Linked DNA regions of Bombyx mori. The protein of the gene in region 1 purifies or fractionates together with the protein of each later gene. This does not show direct contact. Links are inferred from orthologs where the notes say so. Each region holds a gene or a part of one and is shown in the gene's direction. Other genes may lie near its edges.

The links. The genes of interacting proteins can lie anywhere in the genome.
Region 2: the proteins of B-cell lymphoma/leukemia 11A (region 1) and metastasis-associated protein MTA3 purify together in Homo sapiens (affinity purification with mass spectrometry; 4 studies listed by BioGRID and IntAct, counting the BioPlex papers as one, with this or other methods). This does not show direct contact. The link is inferred for Bombyx mori from reciprocal best matches to the Homo sapiens genes BCL11A and MTA1.

What each region holds. Positions count from the first base shown.
Region 1 is NC_085124.1:5,004,204-5,007,773, reverse strand, and holds part of B-cell lymphoma/leukemia 11A, read left to right. Parts: coding exon 1-170; intron 171-1,037; coding exon 1,038-1,241; intron 1,242-2,287; coding exon 2,288-2,473; intron 2,474-3,570. UniProt on the Homo sapiens protein: Transcription factor. Associated with the BAF SWI/SNF chromatin remodeling complex. Binds to the 5'-TGACCA-3' sequence motif in regulatory regions of target genes, including a distal promoter of the HBG1 hemoglobin subunit gamma-1 gene.
Region 2 is NC_085131.1:3,800,719-3,804,729, forward strand, and holds the start of metastasis-associated protein MTA3, read left to right. Parts: upstream 1-1,141; 5' UTR 1,142-1,542; coding exon 1,543-1,570; intron 1,571-4,011. Other genes in the region: protein transport protein Sec23A, read right to left, coding at 1-157, 252-530. UniProt on the Homo sapiens protein: Transcriptional coregulator which can act as both a transcriptional corepressor and coactivator. Acts as a component of the histone deacetylase NuRD complex which participates in the remodeling of chromatin.

The sequences.
Region 1 (3,570 bases):
GGACAGCGCGGCAGAGGGCGGTGGATCTCCAACGCCCGGAGTTCCAGCAGATACCCTGACCTGTGGGGCCTGCAGGAGAGCGTTTGCGCTGGCTGACATAATCAGGTTCATCCAGCACAAAGTCTCGTCCTGCGATAAAGAGCTCACGTCTTATCACTGCTATAGCGCTGGTAAGTATAATAAGTATCAATAGGGTATCCACTAATATTTTTGAGTTTTGAGATATAATCCTTTACATAAATCTGAGATATCAAACATTCCTTGTTGTGGATAAATGAAATTATACTAGTTAAATAAGAATTTTACACTAGTAACTTCACTCTATACCCATATATTAGAAAGATTCACAATTTACCTACTACCGGTCGTCGATGATCCTCTACCAGAACACTGTCCACGGTGATAACCATACTCGATCCGGTGGACCGAATGGTATACAGTCGACGTCGCTCTAAGCACGCCATTACGGATCATCCCGATCCATTAACGGTGCTTTTAGGTACCACAAGCACCGGTCACCGTCCTCGTCGAACCCGTCGCTTGCGACGACGGGCTCGACGAGTAAATTAACCCATAGACACAACCCACTGAGTTTGTCGCCGGATCTTCTCAGTGGGTCGCGTTTCCGATCCGGCGGTAGATTCTGCGAAGCACTGCTCTTGCTAGGGCCAGTGTTAGTTGGCAACACTCCCGGTTTGAGCCCCGTGAGCTCACCTACAAGAAGAAGAAGCTCAAGAAGAAGCTGAAATAGCCTCTCAAGGCTATCAGAAATTTCAGGAAAAAAAGTGATAACTTTTTTTTTATTGCCCTTGTAGGCAGACGAGCATACGGCCCACCTGATGGTGAGTGGTTACCGTCGCCCATGGACTTCAGCAATGCCAGGGGCAGAGCCAAGTCGCTGCCTACAACTAAACAAAAATTAAAAACAATAAGATAAGCATGGAAATACATAGCCAGATAAATATTCCTCAATATTATTATACTTTTCATTAATAACAATAGAAGATACGATCAAAATCAAATCGTTTATTTAACAGGTCCGAATTCAGACCAGGAAGACGGGTCCAGGCCAGGTCAGGTTTCAACAGCGAACTCTAGCGGTCGAAGACCCTCGCTTCTGACCGCAAGGCGACTTCCGAACAGCAGGATCCACACACCGCCTTTGGCTAGTCCATCAATAGCACCGCCTGACCTTTTAGAAGATGGAGGCGCTTCGAGCACTCCAAAAAGACTTCTCGATGGTATGCAAAAATACTACGATTCACATACTAATAAGGACAACATTTTTTTTAAATTAACAATTGTTAGTACAGTAAAAGCTTCTTAATCGTGCTTCCTTCATTCGCGTTTTCAATAGTCGCGGATTAAAAAAATTCGACTCAATTCTTATATTCGCGGCTAGAGATTTATTTATTCGCGGATTTAATCTATTGTACATCGATACATACAAATTGATTTAAACAATTCCAATATGTAGGTATCCAACAGACTATCTAACCGATTCTGTATTCGCGGCATATTTACGGAACATATGTATACCCCGCTAATAAAGAGCTTTTACTATATTAGGGCGTAACCGGTATACGTTTTACACCAAAATATTTTGCGTTCCAACTAGGACGGACATTGTACTACAACCTTATGCCTCAATGTGGACAAAAGCATTCATTTTGAACTCTGAATGGCCAGAGACCTAACTAAACAATACCAAGGTAACTAAAATCAGGAAAACTGGGAATCAGTCTGTCTACGTCATCATTAATACGTCATCGTCATCGTCAATACCCATATGATAATTGTCTAATCTGATAATTTTAATTTGAACATTAAACAATATTAATAAGTATACCACAATAATGAAATTACCTTCTTAAATCCGTTCATAGAGTAATTAAATGTAAATGAGTAAGAAAATATACACATACATTTGATGAGGTTGCCAATTTAATAAATGCAATTTTGACAAGAAGATAAACTATAATAGTTCTAATCTATATCTATACTAATATGTAAATCTACAGTGGTTTTACGGATATTCCGTTATAATTACTGAACCATGCATCCTATTGGCTTGAAACTTGGTATCCATGCAGAAAATACATGTACTTAATGCATAGGCTAATATTTATATGAGTGCTGGGCTTCCTACTCCAGTTGCGGGTGCGTTCATGAAATAATAATGTTAATTTTAAATGCCCAGCAAAGCGGACGGGTACAGCTTAATTCTAAATCTAATTCTTAGTTTAATTCTAAAGGTGAACCAAAATAATCATGATTTCTTATTCAGAAGCCGAAACTGAAACCTCAACACCCAAACGGCGGGCCTCAACATCACCGTTACCTTCAAGTTCGCCTGATGAAGATATCAAGCCTAAGATCAAGCAAGAGCGTATGGATACATCGGGATCTCCTGAAGACCAGAAAAAGTCGAGAACCGAGGTTGCCGACGCTGAATCAAATACCATGCATAGTGGTGAGTACAAAAATTTCAAATATGATGTATTCAATTCGGTAAAACATTTAGTTTGCGATTAATTTAATAAAACCCCGTTCTTGTTTCTATAAATTTTTGACTATTTAGCTTGTTCTCCCATCAAACAAAACATTATAGACACGCTAAGCAAAACGTATATTGGATTGCCAGGCTAACGGAAGAAACACGTGCGTTTGACAAATTCCTTTTATACGTAAGTTCCACGTCATCGCCTTTTCACGGTACGATATTTAATATTTTTATTAATGATACTGGGCACTGGTTGACATCAAAGGATTTGGCTTGCGACGACATTTTTATCTTTGCTCCATCCTTTGTACTCGATGCAAGATGTTGCACAACATCATTGTTGGACGTTCGGTAATGCTTACGTCATCGTAGATCCATACATTCCGTACACACACGCTGGGCGTAATCTCCAAACCCGATACATTATAACAAAGGAACGCAAACGAAATATATTAGACACGGTCTGAAAGCCACATTGAAAGGGGCAATGTTAAAAATACACCCAAATGAAAAGCTGGCGCTGAACCCGACTAAAAATAGCGAGATTTTTTCCTTAAAAATTCAAAACACTTCAATTCACTAATCCTTAAACCGTCTGATAAAAAGAATCCTCCGTAACATCTGTATAAGCGAGCAATCTTGCGGGGGTCGGTCCGGGGAATAATCTATCCGAGAGAGCTAACCCTTTGTGCGAGCAGATGCGGTGTCATTCGACACTTTTGTAATAAACCGTTGCACAACAAAGCTTTTCTTAAACCCGAAATTTGTGCATCGGTGTATTTTCAACCCGCATTTTGTTCGCTTCGTGCCGCTGTAAAGCTGTTTTAGCAGCGAAACCTTCGTAACCAAACAGTTGCGGCTCACTTTAATTATTTCGAAGCTGCATTTATACCTCATACTAAAGTATTAAGAGTCAAAATTTCTCAAACTTTATACGTTTACATTAATTAGGTTACCGTAATTAAGAACTAAGACTATGCCTTTTTTCGTCCTAATATATAATCGGCTCGTCATGTAAATACAATTGCGCTATTGCATGTCAATAACAGGTTTTCCCTTGACACCAG
Region 2 (4,011 bases), on another chromosome or scaffold:
CCCCAAGTTCTTCCTCATCTAAACAAGTATCAACAACAAGCAGGTAGATTGGGGGCATAGCCTGTGCTCGCGTTATTGTGTACTCTATGGTGGAAAAGTTAGGAATCAGTTCTGCAGGTTGATGCTGTTCTGATATAGCAGCATATTGAGGTGGAAACTGAAATTAAAATATATTGATTACTCTATAAGTACTTTAAAAGAAAAAAACATTAGACTAATTGAGTTAGTGGCGAATTTCTTCAAGTACTCACTGGGTTTCGTTGGAAGCAAAAGTTGCAGACCCATAATTTAGCTCTGTAATCCACCTGGCACATTGGGTTCAATATAGCTCTGCATGTATTTCGTGTACAGAGTACAGGCTCGTACTGTATCGGTGGTAGGTCGGGGCGCTCCTTAAGCGGTTGGTACAAGCAAGCCAAAGGCACAACAAGCCTCGTAGCCTCAATTCTACTTGATGGCCATACGTTCCAAGTGAACCGTATGCCATCGCGGTCTTCATTCTGCTGGATGAACTCCTCGTATGTGGCCATATCGCCGATCTATACGAAAAAGATACATTACAAAAACATCATAAATGCACACAGACTCTGGTAACTTTAGAAGCACTATTAACCAAATGTACGTACCAAAAAGTCATGCGGCGAACCAGTTATAAACACATGAGCAAATTTCTTAAATCACAATATGTCTTCATTCAAAAATCCCATAAATTTCTCAATTTTTTAGAAACCAAGCAGACTGGAGAGGCTGGCTGATTTGGCAGTTGTCAACACCATAGACAAATCAGCTGTCATACTGGCCACGTCACATTTTTACACGCCATCCATCACAACATATAAAAATAATTTAAAATTTTACTATCAAACGAACCACAAATTAATAAATCTTTAAATATATAAATAACATTTTTAAATAAAAATACTTTTAAGGGAGAAAAAAAATAAAAATTTTTGGTTTTCTTTATGGTTCTCTGACGTTCCTTTCCACATTCCAAATTCGAATTAAAATTAATTTTAGATATAAAACACAATTTATTATATTCAGTCTTCAATATACAAATAAATATTATGTTAAAATTTATTTAATTAAAGAAACTTTCTTACTTCTTGTTGAAAAAAAAATTACAGTAAATATTTAATATAATTAAAATCTTGTCAACACTGTTCCCGTTAAAAGAACGAAACGTGGTTGAATGAATTATTTTTTTTATTTTAGGACATCGTAAAATAAATTTTCAATGGACGATATTATTTTCAAACAATACTTTTTATAATTCAAAATAATAATCATTTGGATTTTATTTGTGGACACAAAATTAATGACATGTCATTGCTTTGTTTCAAAAGCAGGAAGTTTACGCCAAAAAGTGCGACTGCGCACTGGCCAAATTAGTAGTGTGAAAGAAAATGGCGATCAGCGAAAGGCGTCCGGAGTTAACGTGATGAAAAACATTGTTAAAAGCTCAATTACATAGTGTTATAGTTATTAATTGTGTCAGATGTAGATTAATTAAGTGTTAATGAATAGTGATTGTGTATAAAAATGGCTGCGAATATGTACAGAGTCGGCGGTGAGTAGCAATAATTGGTTATTTTTGTTGTAGCTTCGCCGGTTCACCGCCAGCCGACTAGCGGTGCTTTGCTTTGATTGTCGTACTTTCATTAATTGCTTATATTAATTAATCCAAACATATTAAACACCCAAAAAATGCCGGTTTTTATGTATCCGTGGAGGTTATCGTGTTTATAACCGTTTGATAAAGTTTGCGGAAAAGTTATATTTTACCAAAATTCGTCAAATCAAATAGGACATTAGCATTTACGTCTAGGTATCATTGTATCGGCTCGTGTATCTGCGTGCGGGCGGTTAGGCATGAAGCGTCTTTAGTTACCTAACTGAGATGATAGTTTTTTAGAATAGTTTGATGATTTTGACGTGAGATTTTAGGTTATATTCGATGTTGTCAAAACATTTTGATACGAGAGCTGGTTGTTTTTGGGTTATTTGGTATATCTTGGAAGAGTTTAGGGATGATAAGAAAGTAAACAGTAAAAGTGTGGCGTCGCTAGTCATTATAAATTATTGGTTTGTTTGTGTATGGACGGTGGTAGTCGAGGATGTCGGTTGCTGTAGGATATTGATGCCGCGAGTCGCGAGAACAACACGAGCGCCTCATGTACCGCACTCGGCGTCCGTCGCGTCGAATGTTAATTAGCCCTTCCTTTTGTATCACTTCCTATCATGTAATGTAATGCTTCTGTTAAGGTTATGTCTTTGTTTCAAAATTAGCTAATTCTTAGTAAAATAATTTTGTTAGAACCGAGATGGAATGTATTTTATTTAATAATTTCATTAAATGGGTAAATAAATATTACTCTGTGATCAACTATAAATTAGGGATTATTAAAGTTTTTAATTTTAAAATTAAATCTTGACCCGTAGTTTTACACTAACCTTAGGTCAATATAGTAAATCTTAAAATGAAATATTTTTTTCCCTCCAAAACATAAAATTAACAATTTCATTCTAATTACCTATACAACAATTATAAAATATGTTCTAAAGCCAATAAAATTTTACTTTGCTATTAAATCAAGTTAAATTGTCAGTTCAATGAATTAATGTTAATCTTTTGTTAATCTTTTAAACCTGAAAGAGCTATACACTATTTTTTATTACTCTAAAACTACTGCCAAACTGTTCTCATTATAAAAATAATAAAAACATTTTGAAAATGCTGTCAAACACAATTTTTTGCAATCAACACTAATAACATAAACAAACATGCATTTCTTTATTCTATCAAGGCCACCACAAATACTTCAGATGTACTGAAAGCAGTAGGTATGCTCCAATAAACAAAGTTTAATATTGCAAATGCAAAGGATTCAAAATTAAAAGGTATTTTATTAATCCAATGATTGATATAGACCATGATCACAGTGATTATTAAATCTATTCTGGCATAAAAGTTTAAAGGGTTTGTCAGCTGTCATTCAGTGACCCTGCAATTAATGAATTAAAACATTTCAGGGTATCTAGGAAAAGAATTATAACAATACATTGCATTCTTTCAGTTTAAATTAATAGTATTGTGTTAGCGTAGTGTTATTTTAAGTATATTTGTTTGTAATAGAATATTTTGATCTACAACAAAACGTCTCTGCTCTACTCTAGTTTGTTATTGTATCTATTTATAAATTTCTACATATTGCAATTTTAATGCAAACATGCAGATATCTAATATACATCTGCATAATACACAATATAAATTTAATTTAGGTGCTGAGTAAAGAAAATACACTAAAAACACACTGACGCAGTACAATAAGAAACCATAATAATATGATATACACATACAGATATAAATAAATTCAAAATCACTAGGATGATTATTAAAATTTCAATAATGAAAATGGAAAATAGTAGTTTTTTTCAAGTGTTTTTTTATTCAATAAAAGTATAAAATTGTCTTTATCAGTGACCTTCAGCTTTTGAAAATTGATTGAGCTCAATGACCTATGCTTAGTTTTGTCCAACTAAAATACTATTTTTTGTTATATAAGCCAACATAGTATTTTTATGCATATATAAATTTCAAAATATTTAATTCCTTTTTTACGGGAATATTACGTATTTATATAAATTAACACTAAAAGTATTTCATAAAAAAGCATTAATAAAATAAGTTAATTATCCATTTTCAAAGTGCCCATAAATATATTTAATCATACATTATTCTTCTTCTATTTTTCCTGCTTATGTCGCTAATACCTACACTAATAATATCAGTGTTATACACCTATATAATGTAATAGAATTACTGAAGTTCATTTTAAACATAATAAAAATATAACAGTTATCAAGAAAGGAACTTAAATAAAATTAAAATGTGGTGTGTGTGAAAATATGTAATTTAAAACAAATGACCTTATACTATTACATTCCTTTCTTGTCGCGAGCTTGCCAAGTTTTACGAAAATATCTCTAGCAATTTCTTAAAGTACTATA